Stegostoma tigrinum: one gene and its partners. The protein of the gene in region 3 interacts with the protein of the main gene of each other region in a pairwise test. Links are inferred from orthologs where the notes say so. Each region holds a gene or a part of one and is shown on either strand. Other genes may lie near its edges. The genes, in order: mxd4, mnta and mlx.

The links.
Region 1: the proteins of mlx (region 3) and mxd4 interact in a two-hybrid assay, tested with the Homo sapiens proteins (2 studies listed by BioGRID). The link is inferred for Stegostoma tigrinum from reciprocal best matches to the Homo sapiens genes MLX and MXD4.
Region 2: the proteins of mlx (region 3) and mnta interact in a two-hybrid assay, tested with the Homo sapiens proteins (2 studies listed by BioGRID and IntAct). The link is inferred for Stegostoma tigrinum from reciprocal best matches to the Homo sapiens genes MLX and MNT.

The regions. Positions count from the first base shown.
Region 1 is NC_081356.1:131,304,707-131,314,876, reverse strand, and holds the start of mxd4 (max dimerization protein 4), read right to left. Parts: upstream 4,928-10,170; 5' UTR 4,638-4,927; coding exon 4,574-4,637; intron 4,457-4,573; coding exon 4,369-4,456; intron 1-4,368. UniProt on the Homo sapiens protein: Transcriptional repressor. Binds with MAX to form a sequence-specific DNA-binding protein complex which recognizes the core sequence 5'-CAC[GA]TG-3'.
Region 2 is NC_081380.1:36,387,014-36,397,429, reverse strand, and holds the start of mnta (max-binding protein MNT), read right to left. Parts: upstream 3,945-10,416; 5' UTR 3,397-3,944; coding exon 3,327-3,396; intron 3,001-3,326; exon of another isoform or gene 2,856-3,000; intron 1-2,855. UniProt on the Homo sapiens protein: Binds DNA as a heterodimer with MAX and represses transcription. Binds to the canonical E box sequence 5'-CACGTG-3' and, with higher affinity, to 5'-CACGCG-3'.
Region 3 is NC_081384.1:1,074-12,000, forward strand, and holds the start of mlx (max-like protein X), read left to right. Parts: upstream 1-5,987; 5' UTR 5,988-6,040; coding exon 6,041-6,082; intron 6,083-8,252; coding exon 8,253-8,289; intron 8,290-10,927. UniProt on the Homo sapiens protein: Transcription regulator. Forms a sequence-specific DNA-binding protein complex with MAD1, MAD4, MNT, WBSCR14 and MLXIP which recognizes the core sequence 5'-CACGTG-3'. The TCFL4-MAD1, TCFL4-MAD4, TCFL4-WBSCR14 complexes are transcriptional repressors.

The DNA of each region.
Region 1 (10,170 bases), on a different chromosome or scaffold from region 3:
GAAAGACAAGAGATACCAGAGCAGCCAGCAGCTTCCACATCCCATAAACTTTAAAAAAAAGCCAAGGATTGAATCGGCATCACCTCACCTCTGCTGAGTTAGCTCTTTTTTTTTTCCTGGGAAGCAATAAGCTGAGAGGAGAGGAAACTGTTCTCACTGATTAAGTTAATCTAATTTCCTCCTCTCTGCTCGATAGCTCGGCATCAGTTACTGTTTATGATTACAGAGGAACATTATAGAGAGTGTTTAAAAGTGATGTAGTCAAGGCTGTCTGGGCCAACACTGAGGACAATTACCTTCGAGGAGGAGGATAGTAAAATGCTGCCTTGAAAAGAATTGCTCAGCAATTTCAGATGCAAGTTAAGAGTCATCCACAACACTGCAAGCATGGAAATGACACAGATATCAGACCAGGTAAGGATGACAAATTTCATTCCCCAGGACAGCAAATTCTAGTTTCGTAGTCGCTCTTGATCGGAGCACATCTTTATTCCAGATTTAAGGAACTGAATGTATAATTTGCCCAGCTGCTACGGTGAGGCTTCAGCTTGTGATCTCTTGGTCAAGTCCTGGCCTCTGGATTATTACAAAACGAACCACACTTTGCCAGTGTGCCCCTTGTAGGTGGGCAGACTGGTATCCCACAAAACTGGCACAATGTCAGAACAAAATTTGTGCCCTCAGGGTGAGAAGGAGGTACAATGTTATGGTTAAACTTACTAATATACCCTCAGACAAACTGGGCAGTGGAAAACGGAATTCAATCTGCAAAAGTGAAAGGTGATGTACTTGGGCAGGACAAACAAGACAAGGGAATTAAAAACCAAGAGCACTGGAACAAAAACAGAAGTTGCTGGAAAAGCTCAGCAGGCCTGGCAAAATTTGTGAAGAAATATCAGAGTTAGTGTTTCATGTCTGGTGACCCTTCCTCAAACGGATTTATACAATGATTGGTAGACTTTGGGAAGCACTGTGTCAGAAGGTCCTTGGTGCAGACGTACACCAGTCCCTTAGGTACCAGGGCAGGTGGGTAAAGTGGTTAAGGCGGTGTATTGAAACAAGGCTGAGAGTTTAAGAGCAGGGAGTTTATGCTGGAACTGTATAAAATGTTGGTTGACCACAGCTAGACCACTGTGTGCAGTTATAAAATACACAATACAGGAGGGGGAGGGTCAAGGGGAGATTCACCAGGATATTGCCTGGGCTGGACAGTTTCAGTTATGAAGAGGGCTGGGCAAACTGTGATTGTTTTCCTTAAAGCATAGGAGACTGAGGGGAGGCAAGGCTGAGATACATAAAATTGACGGGCATAGATACGATAGATACAAAGAAACATTTCACCCTGGAGGGATGAATGAGGATAGCTTTAAAGAAAAGGAGAAGTTGTAGAGAAGATGCCAGGAAAAGTATTTTGCATCCAGAAGGTGGTGGGAATCTGGAACTCTAAAAACATGGTACAGGCATAACATAGAAGCAGCAGCAATGCCAAGACATACAAGGACTGGTGCTGGAAAGCGGGATTAGAATAATTTGGTGGTCGTTAATGACTGGCATGGATAAGATGGGCCAAACAGCCTTTTCCTGTGCCGTAAATCTCTATGACTCTGTCTGTGAAGCTGTGATATTGTTGAAGATGGTCATGCGAGTACAAGAGTTGCCTCAGCTTCCTCGTCAAAAATTCAACTCTGCCTTGAATAAATTTGAAGGCCCATTCTCCACTGCTTCCTGAGGATCCATATACACCAGAGGAAAATCTCCTTCCTCCTCCACCTTAAGCTGTGGCCTCTATGTGTTCGTGGCCTCCACAAGGAGAGGTGTTAACAGGTACCAGTCCATCCCGCTCAACTCTCTCTTCACCACAGGGATCAACCAAGCAAACTTCTGCTGAATTGCTGCCTAATGCAACTAGATTACACACTGTCAAATACAGAGGCCAAAACACACCTGAATGCCAGACGTGGCCTCACACAATAGGCACTAACTGCTAGCTGCAGTAAGGTACAAGGGCTTTAAATCCCAGTCACCAATGGATCCCTGGACAGGCAGCAGCTGTAGTCCAGTAAGGGCCCTTCATTCAATCACAAGGGAACATAATTGTAAGCTATTCAGTCAGAAGTGAGAGCAGAGTGGTGGGGTTTTCAAGAAAAAAAGGTTCACATTGTTAACCAGTGACCCCTGCTGAGCTGCGATAGATACATCAGGTGAAGGTAGAGGAATCACTAGAGAAGTGGCCAAAAAGGTTCTCCAGGCCTCCATTCCCAGGAAAACTGAAAAATCTCTTAAGCAATTTACGTCTTAAGTGAGTACGTGCTTAGAGTCTAGTAATGACAAAAATCTAACCTTCTCACCTGTCGGGTGAAACCGAGCCAAGTTGCATCAGACAGACAGAGTGACACCACCTAAAACGGTGAAGGAAGTTACTCTAACACAGGCTGAATCATACCAGGTGCCTGTCAGGCAATGGCTGTAGTCACGTCTGGAAAAAGGCTCGGGATTGGACAGGCAGTAACCCAGCACTGGGTGTCTCGCTAAAGAATGACATGAGGACTTGGGAACCTTCCCCCTCCCACCCCATACCCATGAACTGCCGATCTCAGAGATAAAATGGTGCTACCCATTTCAGAAAAATTGACTGAGACACGCGAGGGAATCAAACAGGCAGGGACAGAGGAGGGCACTAGGACAGAGTGGGGTGAGCTAGACAGAACTGGCAGGGACTTGAGCAGTTTGGTCCTGTGAGGTGTAGCAAACGTGCAAGAAAGCACTTGTAGCATTAACACAATCAATCCCAATCGACAAATGCGGAGAAATGATCGCAGAATCAGAAATACAGGGCAACAGTGAGCTATTTACGATTTGACACTACCAACCGCAACAGAATGGTTTCTAAAAAAGTTGTCTTAAATGCTGTAGATAGGAAGAACGTGATTCCACTAAACATGTAACAAAAAGGAGGGCAATTTAAGGTGATCTGCAAAGGAATGCAGCAGCACAGTGACTCAGTGGTTAGCACCAGGGTCTCACAGCACCAGGGACCTGGGACTGATTCCAGCCTTGGGTGAAAGTGTGTGTGGAGTTTGCACGTTCTCCCTGCATCCGCAAGGGTTTCCTCCCACAGTCTAAAGATGTGCCAGCTATGTCGGTTGGCCATGTTAAATTACCCATAGAATCCAGGGATGTGCGTGCCAGGTAGATTAGCCATCAGGAATACAGGGTTGTGGAGATGGCGATATTCTTCAGAGGGTCAGTGCGGACTCGATGGGCTGAATGGCCTGCTTCCACACTAAGGATTTTATGAATAAAGAGGAACTGGATGCAACACGAGGGCAGCCTTTACATAGCGAAGGGAGTGAATTAAGTTCCAATCACAGCTTCTGCAGGGCAAATGACCATCATCAGAGATTAACAGTTTAAAAGAAAAATCTTGCAAGGTGGACAGAGGGCAGTAAACCCAGCAGCTGCTGCAGAAGGCTTGATAGTGAGGGCTGAATGGCCTCTACCCACACTGGTGGATTTTCTGAAAACGCAGACAGCTAAATGAGGGCACGCCGAGAGCTCAGAGCCATGAGAGTTTGCAAGTGAAGGCTGCAGACAGGCCAGGGAGAAGCGGATCGAAACAGGTCCAAAGTGGAGACTGCTGGAGCCTATCCTCCAACCCACTTAGAGCAGCAAACAGGGCGCAGGCGCAGCACCGAGATCAGCCACAGACAAAAAAACCAAAAAAAATCTGGATGAGAAAAAAACATCGCTCAAAATTTTTAAAAAAGGACAAATTAAAAATCGACGGAACGAGTCACCTTTCTTTTCTTCTACACCTTACTTAACCTTATCGGAATATTTAACCAACATCACGTTCACAAACCTAAGGGAATAAATAACGTGCAAAACCGTTTATCTTTTTGCGGAGCGGGGGGGAAAAGGAGAAAGAAATGGGTTTTATTTCCATCTAGATGTCTATTTTTGAAGAAACGTTAAATAAAAATATCAACACTCCATGTACGGGGAAGGAAGCAGCGACAGTCAAAAACCAAAAAAAAAATCTTTGAAAAATGCGATTAAAATTGATATTAAATTCTGGGTGGAAGAAGAAAAGGATGGGGTGGGGGGGGGGGGAAGGAACTTCACTTTTTTTAAAAAAAGAGGAGGGTTTGCAGAGTAGAAATGTGCAGGAGGTTGCTAGAAGCAGCTGCCCTGTAAAATATGAAGAGAGAATACTGTACGCGTGGCAGTGTTTATATCCGACCTAAACACAGGCAAGCCCAAATGAGGGAAAATGGCGACTGGGAAAGATTAAAGAGCCAAATATATAATTTAAAAAACAGCGATGCCACCCCCCTCCACCAGCCCTCCCCGGGCCTCTCCTTGTACCTGTTATTTGGTGTTTTCCTCGTCTTGCCTTTCTTCCTGTTGAATTCGACGTTGCAGGGCAAAATTGACGCGTAGCCGTGTTCTGCCTCTGAAAGCCAAATAAAAATTTTTTTTTTAAAAAAACAGAAACAACATAACCACAACTACAGAGCTGCACCCGGAGAAGATTCGACACTGCGAGGCAAACAAAACCCTGCAATCGTACCTCTCTCTCTTCTCTCGATGTACTCGGCTGCTTCCAGCAAAGTTTGAATATTAAAAAATGCCATTTCTCCCCAGATAAAGTGATGGTGTGTGAGTTTTTTATATTTAAAAAATATAGTTTGTGCGGTAATTTTCCTACCTAGTAACAACAACTACAACAAAATGGCCTGTCCGAGAATTACAGGTGGAAAATAAAATTTCCAAAAAATATCTAGACACTTTTTTAAAAAAAGTTAAAACGAGAGGCAAAGACAACTGACTCTAAGAGACAAGTTTTTGCAAACCCTCTGTCACCTCAACCTAGCCTGCTAAGCAGCCCAGATGTATTGTGACGCGATTTGATTGACAGATCGGGCTCTAAGTCCCATTCTCTCCAATGGGGAGCTCCTAGGACGAGAAACAACAGTCAGGGTAGGTTTCGCCTCTCCCTCCCCAAGCCACCACCCCCCCCCCCACCGAGCGCACGCGCATACGCCCAGACACAGACACAGATGTATCAACAAGTCGCCGTCCGCCCGCAGCTCAGCTCATTGGCTCCCGTGAGCGTGTATCCGATCACTGTATCCACCCGTGGGCCCTAGCAACAGAGGCCGCGTGACCCTGTGGGCTGCGCGTCCATTGGCGGACGCCACCGTATGCAAAGAGCTACCTTCCCCTTACCATTGGGCGACCAGGTCGGGCATTCTAATGAGACGGGCGGGGCCAGTCTGCGCGTCTTGATCAGTTGGGCGGGGCCAGGAGCGCTCCGCCCTTCGGGAGATGTTGTTGGCAATGTGGCACGTTGTGGGTAAGCTCTGCTTGTAGGAAATGGTCTTTATTTTGCTGTGGGACTAATTTAACAAATTGACTGGTTTTTGATTTTTTTTGTGCCTGCTGAAATGCACAGAAACGTGACAAAGTGAATATTGCCATTTTGTATTGGGCCTCCTGCAGTGCCACAATGATGCCACCCGAAGGTTGCAGGAACAGCAACTCATATTCCGCCTGGGAACCCTGCAGCCCAATGGTATCAATGTGGACTTCACCAGTTTCAAAATCTCCCCTTCCCCTACTGCATCCCTAAACCAGCCCAGTTTGTCCCTTCCCCCCACTGCACCACACAACCAGCCCAGCTCTTCCCCCCCCCCCACCCACTGCATCCCAAAACCAGTCCAACCTGTCTCTGCCTCCCTAACCGGTTCTTCCTCTCACCCATCCCTTCCTCCCACCCCAAGCCGCACCCCCAGCTACCTACTAACCTCATCCCACCTCCTTGACCTGTCCGTCTTCCCTGGACTGACCTATTCCCTCCCTACCTCCCCACCTACACTCTCTCCACCTATCTTCTTTACTCTCCATCTTCGGTCCGCCTCCCCCTCTCTCCCTATTTATTCCAGTTCCCTCTCCCCATCCCCCTCTCTGATGAAGGGTCTAGGCCCGAAACGTCAGCTTTTGTGCTCCCGAGATGCTGCTTGGCCTGCTGTGTTCATCCAGCCTCACATTTTATTATCTAGTTAAGTATGTAAACAGCTGGAATGGAAGTAAGGCCGATCAGCCCATCGAGTCCACTCTGCCATTTAAATCATGGCTGATGGGCATTTCAACTCCACTTCCCTGCACTCTCCCCGTAGCCCTTGATTCCTTATGAGATCAAGAATTTGTCGATCTCTACCTTGAAGGCATCCAACGTCCGGGCCTCCACTGCACTCTGCGGCAATGAATTACACAAGCCCACCACTCTCTGGCTGAAGAAATGTCATCTTATTTCAGTTTTAAATTTACCCCCTCTAATTTTAAGGCTGTGCCCACGGGTCCTAGTTTCCCCGTCTAACGGAAACAACTTCCTAGCGTCCATTCCTTCTAAACCATACATTATCTTGTAAGTTTCTATTGGATCTCCCCTCAACCTTCTAAACTCGAATGAGTACAATCCCAGGATCCTTAGCCGTTTATCATACATTAAACCTACCATTCCAGGGATCAGAGATAATGGGGACTGCAGATGCTGGAGAATCCAAGATAACAAAGTGTGAAGCTGGATGAACACAGCAGGCCAAGCAGCATCTCAGGAGCACAAAAGCAGACGTTTCGGGCCTAGACTCTGCATCAGAGAGGGGGTTGGGGTGAGGGTTCTGGAATAAATAGGGAGAGATGGGGAGGCGGACCGAAGATGGAGAGAAAAGAAGATAGGTGGAGAGGAGAGTATAGGTGGGGAGGTAGGGAGGAGATAGGTCAGTCCAGGGAAGACGGACAGGTCAAGGAGGTGGGATGAGGTTAGTAGGTAGGAAATGGAGGTGTGGCTTGGGGTGGGAGGAAGGGATGGGTGAGAGGAAGCACAGGTTAGGGAGGCAGAGACAGGTTGGACTGGTTTTGGGATGCAGTGGGTGGAGGGGAAGAGCTGGGCTGGTTGTGTGGTGCAGTGGGGGGAGGGGACGAACTGGGCTGGTTTTGGGATGCGGTGGGGGGGGGGGAGGCTCCCTCTACATTGGGGAAACGAAGCGGAGGCTTGGGGACCGCTTTGCAGAACACCTCTGCTCGGTTCGCAATAAACAACTGCACCTCCCAGTCGTGAACCATTTCAACTCCCCCTCCCATTCTTTAGATGACATGTCCATCATGGGCCTCCTGCAGTGCCACAATGATGCCACCCGAAGGTTGCAGGAACAGCAACTCATAATCTGCTTGGGAACCCTGCAGCTTAATGGTATCAATGTGGACTTCACCAGCTTCAAAATCTCCCCTACCCCACCCCATCCCACAACCAGCCCAGCTCGTCCCCTCCCCCCACTGCACCACACAACCAGCCCAGCTCATCCCCTCCCCCCACTCCGCTTCCCTAACCTGTTCTTCCTCTCACCTCAAGCCGCACCTCCATTTCCTACCTACCACCTCATCCTGCCTCCTTGACCTGTCCGTCTTCCCTGGACTGACCTATCCCCTCCCTACCTCCCCACCTATACTCTCCTCTCCACCTATCTTCTTTTCTCTCCATCTTCGGTCCACCTCCCCCTCTCTCCCTATTTATTCCAGAACCCTCACCCCATCCCCCTCTCTGATGAAGGGTCTAGGCCCGAAACGTCAGCTTTTGTGCTCCTGAGATGCTGCTTGGCCTGTTGTGTTCATCCAACTTCACACTTTATTATCTTATTCCAGGGATCATCTGTGTGAATCTCTGCTGGACACGCTCCAGGGCTAGTATGTCCTTCCTGAGTTGTAGGGCCCAAAATTGGACACAGTATTCTAACTGGGGCCTAACTAGAGCTTTATAAAGCCTCAGAAGCACGTCGCTGCTTTTATATTCCAACCCTCTTGAGATAAACGACAACATTACATTCGCTTTCTTAATTACGGACTCTACCTGCAAGTTAACCTTTAGAGAATCCTGGACCAACACTCCCAGATCGCTTTGCACTTCTGATTTGTGAATTTTTTCACCGTTTAGAAAATAGTCCATGCCTGTATTCTTTTTTCCAAAGTGCAAAACCTCAAAATATCTGAGCATTGAATGCAGTAGTAGGCCATTTGGCCCTTCCAGCCTCATGCACCATTCAATATGGTTGTTGACATATCCAACTCAGTCCCCTGGTCCACCTTCTCCCCTCACACTTTGATCTCTTTTACCTTAAGACCTATATCTATTAGCTTCTTGAACATTTAATACTTTAGCATCAACTGCTTTCTGCAACAGACTTCCACAGGCTTGCCAGTCTCTGGGTGAAGAAGCTTCTTATCTCAGTGTGGTATAGCCTACCCTGAATCCCTATTCTGTGACTTCTGGTTCTGGACTCTGTGGTCATCAGAAATATCATTGCTGTATTTACCTTGTCTGACCCTGTTAGGGTGTTACAGGTTTCTAGTACTTCAAACCTCTGGTGAATACGGTCTTAACCGATCCAGTCTCCATTCATAAGTCAGTCTGGCAGTTCCAGGAGTCAGTCTGGTAAATTGCTGTTGTACTCAGTCCATGGCCAGAGCATCCTTCCTCATAGAAGGATACCAAAACTGTCCACAGTATAGTCTCCCCAATGCCCTGTACAACTGCAGCAAAACATTCCTGCTCCTGTACTTGAATCCTCTCACGATGAAGGCCAACATGCCATTTGCCTTCTTCACCACCTGCTGTACTTTTCTTTAAGTAACTGCTGTGCACTTCCACCTTTCCCAATCCATCGCATTTCAGATAATAATCTGCCTGTTTTTAGCCACCAAAGTGAATCCCATCACATTTATTCACATTATATGTCATCTTCCATGTCTTTACCCACTAACTCAATGTATCCAAATCACCCCGAAGCGTCTCTGCATCCTCCTCACAGCTCGCCCTCCCACCCAGCTTTGTAAACCTCAGCTTTGCAAACATCATGCTTCACGTTTCATGAAAGGTTGCCCAATGCAATATTACCCATTTTTCTGTGGTTTCAAACATGAGCTGGCATTTAAATATCACACCAACATGTCCCAAAAAAGGTTACAATCATTCTGGAAGCACAAGAGCGGCAGATACATGAGAGCACAACCACTTGCAAGATTCTCCTCCGAGCCACTCACCAGCCTGACTTGGAAAATGATGCCACGTGTATATATCACTGGTGAATTTCTGCAGAATATCTTGTAGATGGATAGTACATACTGCTGCCACTGAGTGTCGGTGGTGGAGGGAGCAGATGCTTGTGGACAGTACATTCTGCTGCCACTGAGTGTCGATGGTGGAGGGAGCAGATGCTTGTGGATAGCACATTCTGCTGCCACTGAGTGTCGGTGGTGGAGGGAGCAGATGCTTGTGGATAGCACATTCTGCTGCCACTGAGTGTCGGTGGTGGAGGGAGCAGATGCTTGTGGATAGTACATTCTGCTGCCACTGAGTGTCGGTGGTGGATTAGATTCCCTACAGTGTGGAAACAGACCCTTTGGCCCAACAAGTCCACACCATCCCTCGGAGCATCCCACCCAGACCCATCCCCCATAACCCACACATCCCACTACAGGACAATTTAGCACGGCCGATCCACCTAACCTGCGCATCTTTGGACTGTGGGAGGAAACCCATGCAGACACTGGGAGAATGTGCAAACTCCACACAGACAGCCGCCTGAGGGTGGAATCAAACCTGGGCCCCTGGCGCTGTGAGGCTGCAGTGCTAACCACTGAGCCACTGTGCCGCCCCAAGGGAGTGGATGCTTGTGGATGTGGTGCCAATTAAGTGGGGGCTTTAACCTGGGTGGTGCCAAGCTTCTTGAGTGTTGGGGCTGCACCCATCCAGGCAAATGGGGAGTATTCCATCACACTCCTGCCTTGTGCCTTGTCGACGGTACTTTGGTGAGTCAGGAGGTGAATTACATGCAGCAGTATTCCTAGCCTCTGACCTGGTCTTGTACCCACTGTGTTTATATAAGTCCTCCAGTTCAGTTTCTGCTAAAGTGGTAACCCCAAAGATGTTGATAGCAGTGGATTCAGTAATGGTAACATTATTAAATGTCTAGATGATTAGATTGCATCTTATTGGAGATGGTGATAGCCTGGCATTTGTGTGGTGCAAATGTTACTTGCCACTTTTCAGCCCAAGCCTGGATGTTGTCCAGATCTTGTTGCATGTGAACATGGACTGCCTCAGTATTTGAG
Region 2 (10,416 bases), on a different chromosome or scaffold from region 3:
GGCAAACCTGCTGATAATTTGAACAAAAGTATGTTTTCTTTGGCAGATATAAAAACACACTTTCAACAAAGGATATTACTGTGGATGGGGGAATATGTGGAAGGTATGGAGTCTGAAAGCATAAAATTAGCACAAGGTTTTTCTGCACAAGAGCTGTCAGACATAGTATACAGCTCTCCCTTTGCCTGCCCCCAAATGGGAATGAACCCTTGACAATGAATCAACCTGTCACAGTCAGGATAAGGATCTACCCCTGGATTAGGGCTCCCATTGCAGCAAATTTGCATTGACAATGGCTTTTATCTGTAGAAAAAAAAATAAACAAACAATCAATAGGCAGAGGTCATAGTCCCAGGAAAGAACTGCGGTAGTGCACATATTCAACAAAAATATTTTTATGCTTAATTGAAAAAATGTGATTTTAGAGAAAAATTTCTGATGAGGATGCTGCAAGGTTATAGAACTTTGGTATAGAACCAAAAACTAAACTTTTTTTTTAAAATTAAGAGGAAGTATTAAATTCTGATTAATGTTCCAAAGATACTCCAAAGTCAACATGCAGGTCCACCCAGCAATTACAAAAGCAAGTGAAATGTTGCCTTTTATTGCGATTGTGTTGGAGTACAAGCAAAGGAGCTCTTGTTGCAAGGTACAGGGCTTTCGTGAAATTACACTTTTGCAGTTTTGGTCACCATGCCTAAGGAAGCTTGAGTGATTTTGAGCTGTGAGATGAGAGTTGTCCTGAGAGAGATTGAGTAAAAAAGGCCTGTTTTCGAAAGTCTCAAGTTGAAACTCTGACAGGGCACGGCACCGTAGCTGTTGAAAGTTTGTATTCCCTGATGAAGAATCTAAGGAGCATAGTCCCAGGATAAACATTCAGCCATGGAGAACTATGGTAAGGAAAACTATCTTCCCTCAGATGATTGTGAATCTTTGAATTCTCAACCCCAGAGAGCCGTGAATGCTCAGCCCTTGAATACAAGGCTAAAAATTGATGTTTGTATTCAACAGGAATCATAAAATAGATTGGAGAGACAGGGCAGTGAATTATCAAGATCACACTTGATCTCATTAAATGGAGGAACAGATCTGAGAGACCATATGACATATGTCTCCTTCTATTTCTTAAACTCCTATCAAGACAGAGACACAAAAGGTGCTCTCTGATGAAGGGTCTAGGCCCGAAACGTCAGCTTTTGTGCTCCTGAGATGCTGCTTGGCCTGCTGTGTTCATCCAGCCTCACATTTTGTTGTCTTGGATTCTCCAGCATCTGCAGTTCCCATTATCTCAGAAACACAAAAGGACCAGCTTCTCTTATTCATTCTACTAACGTTAAACTCCAAAAGACATCCATTGGCCAGGTTTTTAATGGGAATGCAATGTTGGCAACTCCCTGCTCCCAGCTCCCAGCTTGTTTACACCCACAAATGACAGTTGAGGATGAGGGCCGGGGAGCAGCAGAGATGAAAGAGCATCATCCTGCTTTTGTTGTGCAGCCAAAAAGTGCCGAATAGGTCAACTCTTTCACAAGATAATTCTCTCCGCCAGTACACATTGTTTTTCGACAAGTTTTTCCCTTTATTCATTAATGGGAAGAGGGCAGCATTTATTGCCCATTCTTAATTGCTCAGAGTGCAGTTCAGCGTCAACACACTGCTGTGGATCTGGAGTCACGCGTAGGCCAGACCAGGTAAGGATGGCAGTTTCCAAAGGGTTTCCCCCAACAATCAAAAATGGATTCATAGTCATCATTAGATCCTGAATTCCAAATTTCAAATTCCACCATCTGTCACGGCGAGATTCGAACCCGAGTCTATCGTTAGATGGGTCTACTGGATTAACGGTCCAGCGATAATACTACCAGACCATCGTATGCCCAGTATCAAAAATGAAGAGTAACAGCATGGCAAGGCTGCTAAACTCAATTCTGAATGTAGTTTCTTGGAGGGGGGAAATCCTCAATATCTGTGGGGGTTTGTGGCGAAACAATAACGCAGTCTCGGGACAAGATTTTATGATACGGGGGACAGAGATGAAGTCTTAGTCCGCTATTGTGAATGAAAAGCGTGAATGTTATTTAGCTCTCCTTAAGGAGATGTTTTAATACACGTCTCCCGCCCGGAGAAGTATCATTGTTTTTTTTCGTATTGTACCCCTATATGATTTGATTTAATCTAAAATCGACCGTCTCAGGCGTAGTCATCCAAGGTGAAGTGCACACAGTAGTGTGGAATGTCAGGCGATCACCGCCCACGATCGTCAGGAAACGCAACTGTGTGACAGCAAGGCTAGAAATTAAAGGGAAAACGCCAAAGGCGTGAGGATACTCGACAGCTGTTAAATAAAGGGGCGGGAAGCTCGGTCAGTTGATAACTGACCAGTAGAACTGAAAAAAATCGCACCACCATATTTGTAACGTGTGTTGCTGCTGGAGAGCTTCTGAATAGGTAAGGTGAATCTGAATTTACGGAAGGCAGGCTTGTCCCAATGCACGTGGTAGCGGGGAGGAGTCAGACACGTCAGGCTGAACAAAATACACTGGCACTATTATTAACAATAGCTCGTGGAGATGAGGCTGAGGGAGATGCCAGCAACGCCGGCTCTGCGACATCCCTCACTACAATGTATCTCCCTGCCTCTTCCGCCTTCCGTTACATTCAAGAATAAAAGAGGGTCGGATTAACTCAAACAACACTGAATAAAAACTGCAACAAAAAAAGCGGAACTACCAAGTATCATATGACACCTCCACCCCATGCCACGACACGTCATTATGCAAACAGACTACAGTATTTTTGAACGTCTGACTCGGCCCTGCCCCTGGAAAAGAATTCCTTAAATCATAAGTATACGGTACAATCGACTGGCTTTGGTGCACTATAAGCGGGTAGCATTATCCAAAATTTGAACATCTCCACGTGTCAACCTTATTACAAATGTGTAGCTCACCACAGAAAAAAATAGTCAGTTACATCCGAAACCTACAGCGATGCTGACTGGTAAATGATCCTAATTACTTTACGTGATTTTACTAGAAAAGCTATATTTTACGTCAAATGACTTGCCTCGAAAAATTCTGAATGAAAATAATCACGTTATCGTTTCCTGCCATAAACATTATTACAATGTCTAGTACTATCACTTATATGTAACAATACAATGTAACATCCAAAGTGCAACAATCTAAAGAGGATCGTGTAATAATGAAAGGCTATACGGATTTTCAGAAAGCCGGGCCAGAATAACAAAAAACAGACGAGTATCCGCATTGGTCAGAGAGAGAGAGAGAGAGAGACAGAAATGTTACATCCATGCGCTCTCTTACCACGTGTTTTCTGTTGTTGCGCTTGCAATTCCAAAAACATTGCAGCTTCCAGGAGTGTTTCGATACTCATGCTCGATCCTATCAATCACTTTTTTTTAAAAGGGGGTGATTTTTCTCTTTTTGTGGTTGTGGGATCAGGCAACCAAGGGGGGCCGGGGGTGGGGTAGACTAAGTTTTAATTTGGCCGCCTTCTACAGGCCCAGTAGACCGAGTGAAAGAGCAAACAAGATATCCTTTAAACCCCCCAGAATCTTTCAGATGAGGGATTGAGAAGTGGGGGGGTGGTGGGGGGGAGAAAAAGAAGTCTCAAGATGGCGCAGTATACAGCCCCAAAATCCAGTAATCACAACAAGCGGTAATACTGCCCACTAGCAGCCCTACGCAAACTACGTCCCAGATCTCACGCCGAAACGGGAGATGCTTGAGATTTTTTTTTGCTCAACGTCCCTTGAATTCCTGGGACTCTCGCCTTCAGCGAATCGGGATCCAACTCATTGCGGAAGCGTCGCGTTCCAATTTCGAACGTTAAGTAACAATCCGAAGCTGCAATGTATCCGATTGAGACGAAACGTTCGCTGGAAATTCACCAGTGTTTCCAAACAACCAGCTCGGTTCGCATCGTGCTGCTCATTTACATCTCATTTGATCCACCCCGACACTCACACCAATCACGCTGGAGAAGGCTTAACAGTAGTATTTTCACATGGACGCCCATCTGCGTTAATCCACCGCAGGTTTATTAGGATAAAGAGACAGTGATTGAAAATAACTTTTATTTGAATGGCGGGGGGAGGGGTGTTGCCGCTTGCTTTTGCTGGAAATGATCTCATTCATTTAGGGCAACAGTTAATGCTAGTGTGTAGGGCGCTCTTACTCGAGGAGCCTGTGTCTTTGCCTTTTTGCGCTATATTCTGTGTGTACTATGGGCATACTGGAAATCCACCATAGTCCAACGTGCTTGGTGCGCGCCACAGGTCCGTGTGCGGATTAGTGAGAGGTTTCTCGGGCGCTTTGCCAATGCACTTGCGGCACGACCGTGCGCTTTTTTTTGGGGGGGGGGGGTTGTTGATAAGGAAAGTACAAAATGGAGGCGGCTCGCACTCGGTAGGGTGTGGTATCAGGAGGCAGAGGATGCGGAAGAGTGCAAAGTCGTGTTTGACAAAACAGCAGAAGAACAACGTGGTGAAGGCGGGGCTTGGAACGAACGCGACGCATGATATTTAAAGGGGCGGATCTAAGGTTGGAGTCTAGCCGTGGTCAGTTACAGGTCGACTTGTGAAATAAAGTGCAAATTTTCACTCGAAACCGTGTGACCTGTGAGTCAGTGACAGTGACCGTAATTTGTTCACGAGACAAAATGATAATAAAAGCACGTTATTGGCGCAAAGTGGGGGGGGGGGGTAGGAGGCGATGGGCTGCGCTAGCTTTAAACTCCATAACTAGACGTCACATGTTTCATGTCGTCTTTAACTTTTTAGGTGCTGGAGGAATTGAAGAAGCCATTAACAGAAATAAATGAAATGCTGAAAGGTGCGGCGCACGTAATTTAATGTTTGAAAACTTCTTTACAAAGTGTATTTATCGATCATAATCCAAATTGCCAACTCTAGGAGGGGCGGTTAATACAATTAGAAGTTTGGACAAAAATCATACTTCACATTGCGAATATTGGAAAATCCAAATAAATGTTAGGGATTATTCAGTCTCCCTTCTGGGAAGAAAACATCATCAATTTCCAAATCTGGATTTAAGCCTGCACAGAATTAAATGCTTGGCAGCAGCAACTTTATACATCGACTTAACTACAGTTCTGCAAAATAACAACTCCCTTTCCCTTTTAAATCAAACCATCCGACTCAAACTTCATTCTCAACCCCATGATTCATGCTGCCCTCTGGTTGCATTCATTCATTTGTCAACGTTGTTCCTCCGTTTGTGCTGAAGGTGTTGGGTCATGCTGAGGATAGAGTTGCACAGTTAGCCGATAATGCGACCGTCCTTACTTAATACATTTTCTAGGCATTGGGAAGTAGGTAGTTGGACTGTGCTGTTATCGTCTGCCCCTCGCAGAGAAGTTTATGCGAGGTTCAGGCAAAATGACTCCTCCACAAGTCTGACAGGGAGCGATTAGCTCGTAACGCCCCCAAGGCCCTGCAGAGAGAGAAAAAAATCTGTTGCCAGAGTTTCGAAACAAGCACCAAAATGTAGCCTGTATGGTGGTGCAAACTACAATGGGAGGGGTCTCTGCTTAACGACTTTCAGCCACAGCACTCTGAGAAACTGGAAACTTTAGAAACAGACAAATAAGGTACCTTGTGAACATCGTTGAAATTGTGCCGAGGTACCTCAGAGTGGAATATAATGTTGAAAGAAGATTTATTTTAAATGCACTTTTTGTAATTTTCAATTTGATTTCATTCTGCCTTCTGAATGCTAAATACAGAATGTATCTTGTCAGCGTTAAAATTTTATTTGGATACTTCGAAAGGGAACAAACATACAGCATTGTATCAATAAACAAGTTGAATTTTATTGCAAAATCGTCAACATTCAAGATTTTTTTGTAATATCAGTTCACAAATTTTATGAATAAAATATTATGGGGAAGAATAACCTCAGCAATGGGATTACTTTAGCCAAATCATTCAGAGAATCAGCACCAGCAGGATGGATTAAATTACCATGATATTCTTTATGCTTTACTAACTCTGGCCTTTTATGCATCACCAAATTCTACCTGTCCATCATTGACAACCATATCCAAGTTCTGTAATTTCCTCCCTAAACTGCTCTATCTTGCCTCTTTTGAGATATTTGAAAACTGCTTCTTTCCGAAGTTTTTGTCATCTGATCTAATCTTTATTTGTTTGAGTGTCAGATTTTGTTTGCTATTGCACCTGTGAAGCCTTGGGCATGCCTTTATAAAATTATAATTAAATGAAAAGCTCTGCACAAATGTAAGATATGTATGTACTTTCCAGCAGTAACTACAGGACAACAATCATTGACAGGGAGCCTGGCTCTTTAATCCCTCCCTATTGCTGTGATATACAATTACAGATGATTCATTAGATCCTTGATTTATTTGCAGAAATCCTCCTGCTCTATATTCCTCTGATATCTGCTTGAAACAAAACCTACTCCATGTGCATTTCAGACTCAGACACGGTAAATGCATTGCTCTTACAATATTTGTTGGGATTTGTTAATTACTATACTTAGTATTAATTTTGGACTACTCTCTGTAGTGGACACATCTCTACTTCTATTTTATTAAACACCCATCTAATTTATTCTGTTTTGTCTAATCATTATAAGCTCTGAGTTCTGGTATAATTCTTGTAAATTATTTTTGCTTCACCTCTGTGTTAAGTATAGAGATCCGAACTGTACATATTACTCCAAATGTGGTCTAACCAATGCTCTATTAATGGTTAACACAACTTCACTCATTTTCAATTCTATTGCTCTGGAAATTACTCCAATGGTTTGGTTAGGACTTTTATATCCTTGTTAACTTCTGTTGCTATTTCTTATGATTTATGAACATGCACACCAAGAACCCTTTACTTTTAAACACCATTGAGACTCTTATATTTCAAGGATTATTTTGAACTCTTTATTTCTCCTAATAAATGACTAGTTCACAGTTAAATATTGAACTAAATTTTCTACTTGCATGTTAATTCTGAAAATAGGAGGTGGGTTAGCTCAGATGGGTAGATGGCTGGTTGTAATGCAGAGTGATGACCAACAGCATGTGTTCAATTTCTGTACTGGCTGACGTTCCCACAAAGGACTCTCCTTCTCAATAACTCCCCTTGCCTGAGGTGTGGTGATCCTCAGGTTAAACCATCACCAGATGGTGTCTTGCTATTGAGGAAGGAGCTGTATGGTCTGGTAAGATTGCTCTGACTTTACCTTTACTTTTTAAGTCTGACAGTTCATCAAAGACTTTGTGAAGTTTTCCACAGTTTTTCGAGGGTATTATAATTATGATTCAACGATCCATGAATTTTAAAGATGTTCTGATTCCCAAGTCCAAGTGTTTTGTGTAAATACTGTTCAGAAGTGGTGCCAGCGTCAAACCCTGCATGGAACACCAATTCCCAGCTCATGCCAGTCTGAGTAACTTTGCTTTTGGAAGCATTTTTAAAACAAGATCTTTTCGGCCCATCTTCACTCATAAATCTTTCAAGTAATTGATCATGTTCTAGTCTCTTGATTACGGACTATTATGCACAGATTGCAACAGATTATTCATGTAAAATAAACTTTAAAAGAAGCTCTATATTGCATTTTACAGCAGTTTCTTTTTTTATACTTTTTAGTTTGTTGAGTGGTGGGTTGTCACTAGCTAGGCTAGCATTTATCATCCAATGCCAAATCTACCCAAACTAACGCAAGCTAATCCGTTAGTTGTTTCATCAAGATATTTTCCCCTGTACAATGCCAAAATTAGATGTCAAATTGCCTAAAAAGTTTTGTTTCCAAACAAATAGAAGCCCGTTTCTTCAAATACTGCTGTACAATTAATAGAATGGGAAAATATATATTCCAAACGAACCACTGCCAATTGGGGCAGTAGTTCACAAACTTTCCTAACCATGGACCAATTAGCAAGGCAAGAGACATCAGGGACTAGCTACCAGTCCCACTGTACCTGCTTTCACTTGCCACTCTCAATCTCTGTAATTCTACATACAGCATATCCACTAACATTGCCAATGTCAACCCTTGTAGCCGATTGGCAAAAGAAATTCTACTCCCCATACATGTTGAAGGAGAGACTGAAATATATTAAGCATTGCCCATATCTTGGTAGCCACCTCTCCACTGACAAGGAGATTCATCATTGCATCAGTTGTGGCAGTTTGGCCTTCTAAATACAATGGCCCTGAATGTTTGACAGACAAGACCTCCACATCAACAGAAATCCTCGTGTCCAGATAGTTGTCATCATCACACTTGTGTACTACACTAAGATCTGGACTGTGTATCGGCAGAGTGTAATGAGTCCTAGAGGATTCCAGTAGTGATGCCTCTACCACATCCTCGAACTTAATTGAAAGGATCGTCAAGCAAGTGTCAATGTCCTTCTTGAAACCAGATGCACAGGATTTAGTCATAACTTTGGAAAAATTCATTTTGATGAACTGGCCATTGTATCCAAATTGCCATTAACCATTTCCCCCAACTGCTCCTGTCTTCTCAATTCTCAGATGATGAACATTTCAGGGGAGTATAAAGAAAATGTTTCTAACACACTCTGAAACACTGAGGTTGTAGGCTTGCTTGCTGAGCCGGTGATAGAATCAAACTCACTGGCTTAGTAAACAAGTCTACAACCTCATCCACAAACCAAGCTACAAGTCTTCTCAAAAACTTTAAACTGTAAAGCACTCTTGAAGGATAGTAACTTTGAGCTTAATGCCTGGGAGGAACTTGCTACCAATCATTCAAAATTGAATATCGATAGCATGATACAGCTTGGTGGATAAGTTATGTCCCAGTGTCTTGATGATGAGTCAGAATGATGGAGAGGAGAAAGAAAAGAAAGTAAATCTGGCAGTCTTGAAGCCTTCTATCTCACGGGGCATGCTGTCACTTGTCCAACATTCTCTGGGTGAAGAATTGCCCCATCTGTCACATGGTATCCTGGACAGTAACTTATTTATGTGAGGCACATGGCCCCATTGGATTGAATGACCTGGTTCATTGCTACAAATATTATGTAAAAGTTCTTCTTTGTGAGCAATGTCTTGGATGATCTGAAATCTACTTGTGTTTGTTTTTGAACACCATTGCATCCAAGAATAATTGTGGAACTGCCATTGGATTTACAATAGTTATGGGTGACATTTGTATTTATTTCAGATTGTTCGAAATATTACATAAAATGTATTGATTTTCAACATTTACATGTTAACAAAATTAGTTATTTTAAGAAAACACATTTGTTGACATGGTCAAATGAAGCTGTAAAATATGAGAATTGGGATTTCAAACAAGCTTCAACAGAGCTGTCACAAGTTATTCCCCATCAGTCAAAACAGTCTTCTGGATAAATTAGACAAAGTCCATTGTCATACCATGACAAGCATTGACTGATATTTGTTACAGAGATAGTAGGAACTGCCAATGCTAGAGAATCTGACAAATCAAGGAGCTGAATGAATGCAGCAGGCCATGAGGAGCAGGAAAGCTGACGTTTTGGGTCCAGACCTTCCTTCAGAAATGGGGAAGGGGATTCTGAAATTAATAGGGCGAGAAGAGGAGGCGAATCGAAGATGGGTAGAGGAGAAGATAGGTGGAGAGGAGACACACAGGTCAAAGAGGCAGGGTTGCAGCCAGTAAAGGTGAGTGTAGGTGGGGAGTTAGGGCGGGGCTAGGTCGGTCCAGCAAGGACAGACAGGTCAAGGAGGTGGGATGAGGCTGGTAGGTAGAGATAGGGGTGAGGGTCTGAGGTGGGAGGAGTGGATAGTTGGGAGGACAGGTTGGGGAGGCAGGGATGAGCTGGGCTGGTTTTGGGATGTGGTCGGGGGAGGGGAGATTTTGAAGCTTGTGAAGTCCACATTCATACCGTTGGGCTGCAGAGTTCCCAAGTGAAATATGGGATGCTGTTCCTGCAAACTTCGGGTAGCATCGTTGTGGCACTGCAGGAGGCCCAGATGGATACCTCATCCACGGAGTGGGAGTGGGAGTTGAAATGGTTCGCGACTGGGAGGTGCAGTTGTTTAGTGCAAAACGAGTTGAGGTGTTCCACAAAGCAATCCCCAAGCCTCCGCTTGGTTTCCCCGATGTAGTGGAGGCTGCAACGGGAACAGCAGATGCAGTATACCACATTAGCAGATGTGTAGGTGAACATCTGTTTGATGTGCAAGGTCTTCTTAAGGCCTGGGATGGGGATGAGGGGGGAGATGTAGGGGCAGGCTTAAATAAGTTAGTAATCGTGGAAGAGATGTAAAATTTGCACTGACATAGCACCTTTCACAATGTCAGGATGGCCCGGAGTTCTTTGCAAACAAGTGAGTATGTTTTTTTTAAAATCTGTATCACTTTTGTATTGTGGGAAACATCACAAGCGGCA
Region 3 (10,927 bases):
CCTCTGCACTTGCACAGGAACGTATCATGGACAGGAAGAGAGTAATTGACAGTCAACTGGGGAGTAATTGGAGGAACAGTCCTTTTGGAATGCAAAAAGGAGAGAAAATATGTTTTGGCACTGGTCACACTAGAAATGGCAGGAGTTGATCAGCTGTAAGGTGAGACTGGTAGGGCGGAACCGAAGATCAAGGAAAATCCTCTTATGGTTTTTGAATGGAGGAGAAAGGTGAGGAATGCTGAAAATGATTTTGGTTATGTTCAAGGGCTCTGTCAGTAGAGGGGGAGTCCTTGGTCTAGAATAAAGAAGAACATATTGGCAAAAATTGATGTAAAATGTGGCAACATCAGAACAGATGCCACAGAGATTGAGAAATTTTGTATGGATTAGACTCCATTCACAAAGTATGGCAGGAATAATTGTAATCAAAATAGCAGTGGGAATCAGTGGATTGGCAGTGAATTTTGGTTGACAGCAAAGCTCCCTTTAATTATTTTTTTCTGCTGCACAGACTATGCATTTTTTTAGAATTTTATAAAATCATGAGGGGTATAGACAGAGTTAATGGTAGTTGTCTTTCACAAGGATGGGGATTTTAAGACTGGGGGCATGTTTTTAAAGTGAGAAGAGAGATATTGAAATGACATGAGGGGCAAATTTTTTACATAAAATGTGGGGTTCGTGCGTGGAATGAATTTCCTGAGGAAGTACATTTAGAAGTATGTTTAGAAGACATTTGGATAAGTACATGAATTGTTCATGTACAGAAACGTTTGGAGGGTTGCGGGCCAGGAGCAGGCAGGTGGGGCTGGTTTAGTTTGGGATTATGTTCAGCATGGACTCGCTGGCCTGAAAGGTCTATTTCCATGCTGTATGACTCAGAGCTAAAACATGTGCAGAACTTCCTAGTAGCTGTACAGCCTATAGGGAATGTTGGTTGACAGCCTATCCACTGAAATAATGAGAGAGAAGTTGAAACAGATAAAGAAGAAACAAAGGCTGTTGGAACATTGATCTTACCATTTGTTTTCTGTTGTATATTTTTAGGTACAAAAGGCATGGCAGCTCCTTCAAAAGCGTAGACCTCTCTCACCATCTTAATAAATACACGGATCTTTAGTCTTTTAGACTGACCCAGCTACAAATATTTTTGTACTTCCGCATGTTGTGCAACAATGTGAAAATTGTAACAATGCACTTCAGATAATCATCAACAAATCAATTTGGAAATACTCTGCAATTTCAAAATCAGCCTGTTTCCATTCTTGTTATACAATGAATAGGCACATTAGTAAGCAATTTGAACTTTTGAGCTTGGTTACCATTCAATATGTTCAATACGCCATTCAATAGGTGACCTCCTGCAATTTTACTCACCCTTGATTACCTTGGTACCCAAAGATATAGTCATCTCTTGTCTTTAATATGTCACAACTGAATATCTACAATTCCACTGGAATACTGAACACTAGGTGCACAATGCTTTGAGTGAATTTCTTATCAGAGCACTAAATAGCTGATCCCAATTGTGAACTCCATGGTATGCTATCAAGCCATAAGATCATAAGAAATAGGAACAGGAATTGGCCATTCACCCCCTTGAGCCTGCTCCACCATCCAACATTCCACACATCCACTTTCCTGCATTTTCTCCATAATCCTTGATTACCCTAGTGATCAAAAATCTCAGCCTTAAATATGCTCAAAGGCTTTGTGCCCAGAGTTTTTGATAGGCGAGAAGTTTGAAAGGCGCTCAACCCTCCGAGGAAATTCCTCTTCATCTCAGTCTTAAATTGATTTCCCTGTGGTCAGTTCCTAGACTCTGCTATGACGGGAGGCATTCTCTGCATTTATCCTTGGTTAGTGTCAAGTTTCTTGATTGTTGTTCATCTGGGCAAGTCAGGAGTATTCCACTGTATTCCTGACTTGTGCCTTGTAGATGGTGGACAGGCACTGGGGAGTCAGGGATGAGTTATTTACCGCAGTATTCCTAGACTCTGATCTGCTGTTGTAGCCACTGTATTACTATAGTGAGTCCAGTTCACTTTCTTGTCAATAATAATTATCTGATTTTCAATAGTCTGTCTTCCATGTCTGTAGTAATTTTTAAAAAAAATAAATGTTAAAATATATTTTGCATGTAGTTTTTGATTTTACTAGCACATGCATCCTCACATTACTTTCTTGTTGATGCACGCTGGTTTTAAAAAAAAAAAATTTCATATCTACTTAAAATATATACCGCTTTTGTCATAATGTAATGCCTATGTATCCTAGTAACTGACATTTCTACCCGGGAGAAAGACTCCCAACTATCCATTCTATCCTCGCCTCATAATTTTGTAAACTTCAACCAGGCCACCTCCTCCTCAGATACTTTGACATTCAAGAGAAAAGAAACCAAGTTTGTCTAATCTCCCTTTGTAGCTACTGCCCTTCAAACCAGGCAACATCCTGGTAAACTTGTGATCAGAGATAATGGGAACTGCAGATGCTGGAAAATCCAAGATAATAAAATGTGTAATAAAATTTTATTATCTTGGAATCTCCAGCATCTGCAGTTCCCATCATCTCTGATAATAAAATGTGAGGCTGGATGAACACAGCAGGCCAAGCAGCACCTCAGGAGCACAAAAGCTGACGTTTCGGGCCTAGACTCTTCATCAGAGAGGGGGATGGGGAGAGGGAACTGGAATAAATAGGGAGAGAGGGGGGGTGGATTGGAGATGGATAGAGGAGAAGATAGGTGGAGAGGAGAGTATAGGTGGGGAGGAGAGTATAGGTGGGGAGGAGAGTATAGGTGGGGAGGAGAGTATAGGTGGGGAGGAGAGTATAGGTGGGGAGGAGAGTATGGGTGGAGAGGAGAGTGTGGGTGGAGAGGAGAGTGTGGGTGGAGAGGAGAGTGTGGGTGGAGAGGAGAGTGTGGGTGGGGAGGAGAGTGTGGGTGGGGAGGAGAGTGTGGGTGGGGAGGAGAGTGTGGGTGGGGAGGAGAGTGTGGGTGGGGAGGAGAGTGTGGGTGGGGAGGAGAGTATGGCTGGAGAGGAGATAGGTCAGTCCTCCCTGGACTGACTGAAGAAACTTGTTACCCCACACCATCCCCATCCAAGCCCCTGGCACTGAGCAAGTCCCAGCCAATACCGATAAAGTTAAAATCCTTGTTATTTTTACACTTTCCATTATCTGTCCACATATCTGTTCCTCAATCTCCTGCTGGCTTTTGGGAGGCCTGAAGTACAATCCCATCAAAATGATCGCACCCTTCCTGTTCCTGATATCTCCCCATATGGCTTCAACTGGATGAGCCCTTCATGGTGTCGTCCCTCAGTACAGCTGTGATATTGTCCCCTGTCAGCAAGTCAATTCCTCCGCCTCTTTTACATCCCTTTCTAGCTCATCTGAAACATCTAAATCCTGGAACATTAAGGTACCAGTCTGGAACCTCTCTCAAACAAGTCTCTGTAATAGCTCCAATGTCACATTTATATGTGTTAATCCACCCTCTGAATTCACCTGCCTTACCCCCACATGCTCTTCTCATTAAAACAAAAACAGCTGAGACAACCAGTCGTGCCACGTTCAAAAACCTCTCTCTTTCTGTTATTCCCCTTAGCCTTACTGGGCTTGGTCTCTTAAAAACTGAAAGAACTGTGGATGCTGTAAATCAGGAACAAAAACAGAAGTTGCTGGTAAAGCTCAGTAGGTCTGGCAGCACCTGTGAAGAAAAAGATCAGATTTAATGTTTTGGTTCCGGTGACCCTTCCTCAGAACTGATGGTAGCTGGGAAAACATTGGTTTATATACAGAAAATAGGGGGTGGGGGGGTATGGGGTAGGGAGTAGATGACAGGATAGAGCCTGAAGGGAGAGAAGAGCAGGTGGATAGAAAAAGCAAATTCCATCCCCTATTCCCAATTCCTTCGCCTCTGCTGCGTCTGCTCCCAGGATGAGGCATTCCACTCCCGTACATCCCAGATGTCCTCGTTCTTCAAGGACCACAACTCTCCCCCCCCCCCCCCCCCGCCGCAGTGGTCGAGAACGCCCTTGAGCGTGTCTCCCGCATTTCCCACAACACACCCCGCCCCTGCAATAACCGCCCTAAGAGAATCCCCCTCATCCTCACATACCACCCCACCAAGCTCCACGTACAACGCATCATCCTCCAACACTTCCGCCATCTATAATCTGATCCCACCACCCAAGACATTTTTCCAACCCCACCCTTGTCTGCCTTCCCGAGAGACCACTCTCTCCGTGACTCCCTTGTTCGCTCCACACTCCCCTCCAGCCCCACCACACCCAGCACTTTCCCCTGCAACCGCAGAAAGTGCTACACTTGCCCCCACACCACCTCCCTCACCCCCATTGCAGGCCCCAAGATGAATTTCCACATCAAGCAGATGTTCACCTGCACATCTGCCAGTGTGGTATACTGCATCCGCTGTAGCCGTTGTGGCTTCCTCCACATTGGGGAAATCAAGCGGAGGCTTGGGGACCACTTTGCAGAACACCTATGCTCAGTCCGCAATAAACAACTGCACCTCCCAGTCACAAACCGTTTTAACTCCCCCCTCCCGTTCCTTAGACGACACGTCCATCATGGGCCTCCTGCAGTGCCATAATGATGCCACCTGTAGGTTGCAGGAACAGCAACTCATTCTGCTTGGGGAACCCTGCAGCCCGATGGTATCAATGTGGACTTCACCAGGTTCAAAATCTTCCTTTCCCCCACCACTACATCCCAAAACCAGCCCAGCTCGTCCCTGCCTGCCTAACCTGTTCTTCCTCCCACCTATCCCCTTTTCCCACCTCAAGCCGCACCTCCATTTCCTACCTACCAACTTCATGTTGTCTAAGGAGTGTGAGGGGGAGTTGAAATGGTTCGCAACTGGGAGGTGCAGTTGTTTATTGTGAACCGAGCGTAGGTGTTCTGCAAAGCGGTCCTCTGACACTTCCGTCATCAACAATCCAACCCCACCACCAAAGACATTTTTCCATTCCCACCTTTGTCTGCCTTCCGGGGAGACCACACGCTCCGGGACTCCCTTGTCCGCTTCACACTGCCCTCCAACCACACCACACCCATCACTTTACCCTGCAACCGCAGAAGGTTCTACACTTGCTCCCACACCTCCTCCCTCACCCACATCCACTCCCTACCACCCCACTTATACTCTCCTCTCCACCTATCTTCTCTATCCATCTTCGGTCCACCTCCCCCTGTCTCCCTATTTATTTCAAAATCCTCTCCCTACCCCCGTTTTCTGATGAAGGGCCTAGGCCCGAAACATCAGCTTTGGTGGTCCTAAGATGCTGCTTGGCCTGCTGTGTTCATCCAGCTCCACACTTTGTTATCTCGGATAGAAAAAGGAGTTGATAATGATCTGGCTAGGAGGGTGAATAGGGAGAAGCCGTAACCTTCATTGCCCCATTTAAGAAGTATTTCAATGTACAGTTGCGATTCTAAGGCATACGAGGCATCTTTACACGTGTACTCTTATAATAAAGGCCAAAATATCATTGCAAAGAATACTCGCTGAACCTCAGTCCTGGATCATAAACTGCAAGAAGTTTATGTGAGCACAAATCTCCAGCCATCAGGCAGACCCATCTTCTTTCCACTTGAAGTTCAAGACCTCAAGCTCGAAGCCCTCTAGTTTTTCTACAAAAATTAAAAAAAAGTTTCAGCCTACTTCCTGACTTAACTGAGAGTGGAAGGAACAAAGGTGCTAACCGTAATCTTTAAATATCCCCTAGCCTTGAAGGAAGTGCTGGAAGACTGGAGAATTGCAAACATTACAGCCTTGTTCAAGAAAGCTTGTAAGGGTAAATACAGCAATTACAAATGAGTCAGTTTAACTGTGATGTGAGGAAGGTCCTAGAAATATCTATTCAGGATAGAATTATCTTGATAACAAGGTGATTTGATTAAGACGAGTCAGCATGGATTTCTAAAGGGGAAATACAGCGCTGTCACAACTCTGCTGTTCCACCTCTAGCCACACGGTGGCGTAGCCCGCGGGGTCAGAGGTCAGAGCGGCGCCATGACGGAGCTGAGCGGAGCGCCCGAAGATCCGTTTGGGAGGGTGAGGAATCCACTGTGGGGATCCAGTGAGGGGGGTGGGTTTGGCGGAGGAAGCGGGTCCCAGGTTCAGGCTCAGGCTCCTCCGGATCTGGTGGGACCGCGGCCGTCTGGTGGACACGAGCCGGGACAAGCGGAAAGGCCCCGCGGGTGGGGGAGGGGGGGACGGGAGTGGTGGGGGTGGGGGAGGGGGGGACGGGAGTGGTGGGGGAGGGGGGGACGGGAGTGGTGGGGGTGGGGGAGGGGGGGACGGGAGTGGTGGGGGTGGGGGAGGGGGGGACGGGAGTGGAGGGGGAGGGGGGGACGGGAGTGGTGGGGGACGGGACGGGAGTGGTGGGGGAGGGGGGGGACGGGACGGGAGTGGTGGGGGAGGGGGGGACGGGAGTGGTGGGGGAGGGGGGGGACGGGACGGGAGTGGTGGGGGAGGGGGGGACGGGAGTGGTGGGGGAGGGGGGGACGGGAGTGGTGGGGGAGGGGGGGACGGGACGGGAGTGGTGGGGGAGGGGAGGGGGGGACGGGACGGGAGTGGTGGGGGAGGGGGAGGGGGGACGGGAGGGGGGTGTGGATGGGGGGACGGGAGTGGTGGGGGAGGGGGGTGTGGATGGGGGGACGGGAGTGGTGGGGGAGGGGGACGGGAGTGGTGGGGGAGGGGCGTGGGGATGGGGGGACGGGAGTGGTGGGGGAGGGGGACGGGAGTGGTGGGGGAGGGGCGTGGGGATGGGGGGACGGGAGTGGTGGGGGATGGGGGGACGGGAGTGGTGGGGGAGGGGGGACGGGAGTGGTGGGGGGACGGGGGTGGTGGTGTCGGGGCGAGTGGCAGGGGGGCGGGAGTGGTGGTGTCGGGCGGGGGATGGGAGTGGTGGTGTCGGGTCGGAGAGAGGGAGGGGGCAGGGGGGACGGGAGTGGTGGTGTCGGGGGGGCGATGGGGGACAGGAGTGGTGGTGTTGTGAGGGATCGGGAGTGGGGGTGTTGTTGGGCTGTCGGGGAGTGGGGGTGTTGGGGGTCGGGAGTGGGGCTGTCGGGGAGTGGGGTGGAGGGGGTGTTGGGGAGTGGGGGTGTTGTTGGGGGTCGGGAGTGGGGCTGTCGGGGAGTGGGGTGGAGGGGGTGTTGGGGAGTGGCGGTGTTGTGGGGGGTCGGGAGTGGGGGTGTTGTTGGGCTGTCGGGGAGTGGGGGTGTTGTGGGGGGTCGGGAGTGGGGTGGAGGGGGTGTTGGGGAGTGGCGGTGTTGTGGGGGGTCGGGAGTGGGGCTGTCAGGGAGTGGGGGTGGAGGGGGTGTCGGGGAGTGGGGATGTCGGGGGTGTTGGGGAGTGGGGGTGGAGGGGGTTGGGAGTGGTGTTGTGGGGGCGCGGGAGTGGTGGTGTCGGGGAGTGGGAGTGGTGGGGGCTGAGCTAGGATGAGAGTGAGAGAGAAAGCGGGTGTTGAGGGAGCAGCGGAGAGAGTGGGATTGGGTGGGGGTGCGAGGGAGGGAATGTGTTGGTGTGAGCAGTGGTTGGCTGTTGTGAGAAGGTGTAGGTGAGGTGGGGATGTGAGGGAGGTTGTGGGTGTGAGAGTTGGGGCTGGGGCGTGTGATGGGTTGGGGATGTTGTGAGGCTGGATGTATGGTCATGTGGATGGGGTGTGTGTAGGGGTGTGGGAGGTGGGGCGTTTGGATTGGGCTGGGTGTGTGATGGTGTCAATGGGGTAGGAGTGTTGAAGTAGGACTGGGGTCTGGATGGTGTGGGTGTGGGATTGAGGGTGTGTTGGAGTGGGGTTGGCGATGTTGCTGAGTCAGGTGGTGGGGTCTGGGGGTGTGGGTGGGTGTGAGGTTTTGGGGTTTGAGGAAGTGGGGTTGTTGCTTTGGGACTGGGCGTGAGGGGTTGGGGTGTGAGGAAGTTGGGCTGGGTGTCAGGGTGTGAGGGGCTGGGATTGTTGGGGCGGGGCTAGGCTAGATGGACTGACTGGATGTGAGGAGGTATGGTTGTGTGTGTATGGGAAGTTAGTATTGTGGGAGCAGTCGGCATGGTAGGCTGGATTGCATAGAGTGGTGCAGGACAGTCATTGCGTGGCAGTGATTGGAGGGCAGGGTGGGTGCGCAGAGTGAAGAGCACTTGCAGCTGACAGCGAGAGGAATATGATGTTTTACTTTCATTAAAGTTTTTTTGTCTCCTCTTGTTCTGAATCTTCCCCTGGTTGCAGACTGATTCTTCCTTCAGCGATAATGGCTTTGATTCCGGTGAGTGTAGTGTCTGAAAGCCCACAACAGATTACAGAGTGGGTCAAACTCCTACGTTTCAGGGTTGGGCTTGTTTGACAACGTCGTACAGTTTTCAGTAAATATCACCTCAGCCCAGTTTGCTCCTCCTGTCACCTTGAGGTGATTCCCAATGACACTTTTGTTTTCGATTGTTCAGAGGACCTGTCCCCCAAGCTGATGAGGAGAATTCTTGTGATACAGCGCAGTTGGTGCTTCTGAAGGGCCTTGAGCTGGTATTTACATTTAGTCCAAGTTTTGGAGTCAGAAGAATGACTGACTTATACACAAGGATCTTGGCATCAGCATGTTATCAAGTACTGTCACACGTAGATGCCCAGAGGCAGCACTAACAGAGTGGATGTGGTATTAAATCTCCGCATCGCTCTCAGCTTTAGATCAGAGGTAGGTTAACAGGTGGAGGAAACTTTAAACATTTAGGAGGTTTCCTCCATTGATCTTAATTGATGGACAGACCAGAATTTGCCTTGGGGAAGGTTGGTAAAGATTGGCTAGACCAGCATCCACACAGAGGGATATTGAAGATAAAATGAGTGGACAGAAACTTGTTATCTCAGATAGAATATAATATGGGGAAATGTGAGATTCTGCACTTACATGAAGAATAGAGGAACTGAGTATTATTTAAATGGAGAAAGACTGTAGAAGACTATGGAACAGGGGGTTTTGGGAGTCCTCATCCATGAATCGCAAAAAGCTAGCACCCAAGTTCAGCAGGTAACAGGGAAAGAAAACAGAATTGTTGGCCTTTATTTCAAAAAGGCAATGGAGTATAGAAGTAGGGACATTTTGCTAAATCTGTCATGGTCAGCAATCAGTCACTAAAATGTATGATTGTCTTCTGAGGAAATTCCATGTCACTGATCATGGGTTGTGTGGTTCATTGCATAGCTGCTGATCCTGATCCGAGAACCACCTCTCTTTCTGGGAAGTGTAATTGGCCTTTGGATTTGAGGTCACTGGCGTTCCTTTCTTTGGTTCCTTTTGCATACTTGCTTTTGCTGACGAGTGCTCTCAGAATTTGTACCAAACTTTCCTCCAAGTCTTCTAAACGAGGGTCTCCCATGTGTTGAGATCTGTGTTGCATTTCTTGAGGGGGGAATGCTTTCAGGGAATTTTTGAAATGCTTCTTTTGTCCCTGGTTCCTTGAGCTAGGCTGAGAAGATTTGCTTTGGTCATCAAAACTCAGCTTTCCTAAGCATGTGGCTGGCCTAGCAGCGTTTGTTTTGGATGATCATGACCTTGACGCTGCTGATGTTGGCTGCTTCTAGGACACTTGTTAGTATAGCTGTCCCCCAAGCTGATGAGGAGAATTCTTGTGATACAGCTCAGTTGGTGCTTCTCAAAAGCCTTGAGCTGGTGTTTACATCGAGTTTTGGAGTCAGAAGAATGACTGACTTATACACAAAGATCTTGGCATCAGCATGTCATTGAGTACTCTCATACTTAGACGTCCAGAGGAAGCGCTAACAGAGTGGATGTGGTATTGAATCTCAGCATCACTGTCAGCTTTAGATGAGGGGTGGGTTGACAGATAGAGGAAACTTTAAACATTTGGGAGGATTCCTCCATTGATCTTAATAGAGGGACAGACCAGAACTTGCCTTGGGGACGGTTGGTAAAGATTGTACAGTTCTAGAGTGTGGAAATAGAGGTTTCGGCCCAATTCATCCATGCCAACCAGACATCCCAATCTGACCTACTGCCATTTGCCAGCATTTGGCCAATATCCCTCTAAACGTTTCTATTCATGTACTCAAATCAATTGCCTTTTAAATGGTGTAATTATATCCACCTCCATCACTTCCTCTTGCAGCTCATTCCATGCAGGCACTGTGCTCTGTGTGGAAAAAGTTGCCCCTTAGGTCTTTTTAAATCTTTCCCCTCTCACCTTAAGCCTGTGACCTGTAGATTTGGACTTCCCAGCCCTAGGAAAAAGACCCTAGACCATTCATCCTATCCGTGCCCCTCATGATTTCATAAACTTCTATAAGATCACGCCTCTGCTGCTCATGGGAAAATAAGCCTCAGCCTATTCAGACAAGATAGGAAACAGTGACATTGAAGATGGAGAAGATAGGAACAGTGACACATCCTTACTTGACTTCTGTCTTGACCCAAAGGAATCTATCATGTTATCAGCTGTGAGGACTGTCACTATTTTCTGATGGATGAAATGCAGAACGTTGATAAATTTCTCCAGAAAGCCAGCTTTTGAAAATACTTTCCACGGCACTTCCTGATCGATTGAGGCAAAAGTCTCAGTCAGATCGATGAATGCTATGTAGAGTGATTAGTATTGTTCTTGGCATTTCTGTTGGAGTTGCTGAGCAGTGAAAATCATTATACATGGATTTAAGTAAGGCATTTGGTAAGGTTGCCCATGGCAGGCTCATGCAGAATGTAAGGAGGCATGGGATAGGGGGAAATGTGGCAGATTGGATTCAGAATTGGCTGACCCTTAGAAAAAGGGTGGTAGTGGACGGAAAATTTTCAACATGGTGCTCAGTTACGAGTGTTGTACCACAAGGATCTGTTCTGGGTCCTCCTATTTGTGATTTCTGTAACTGATTGGAAGGGTGGATTAGTAAGTTTGCGG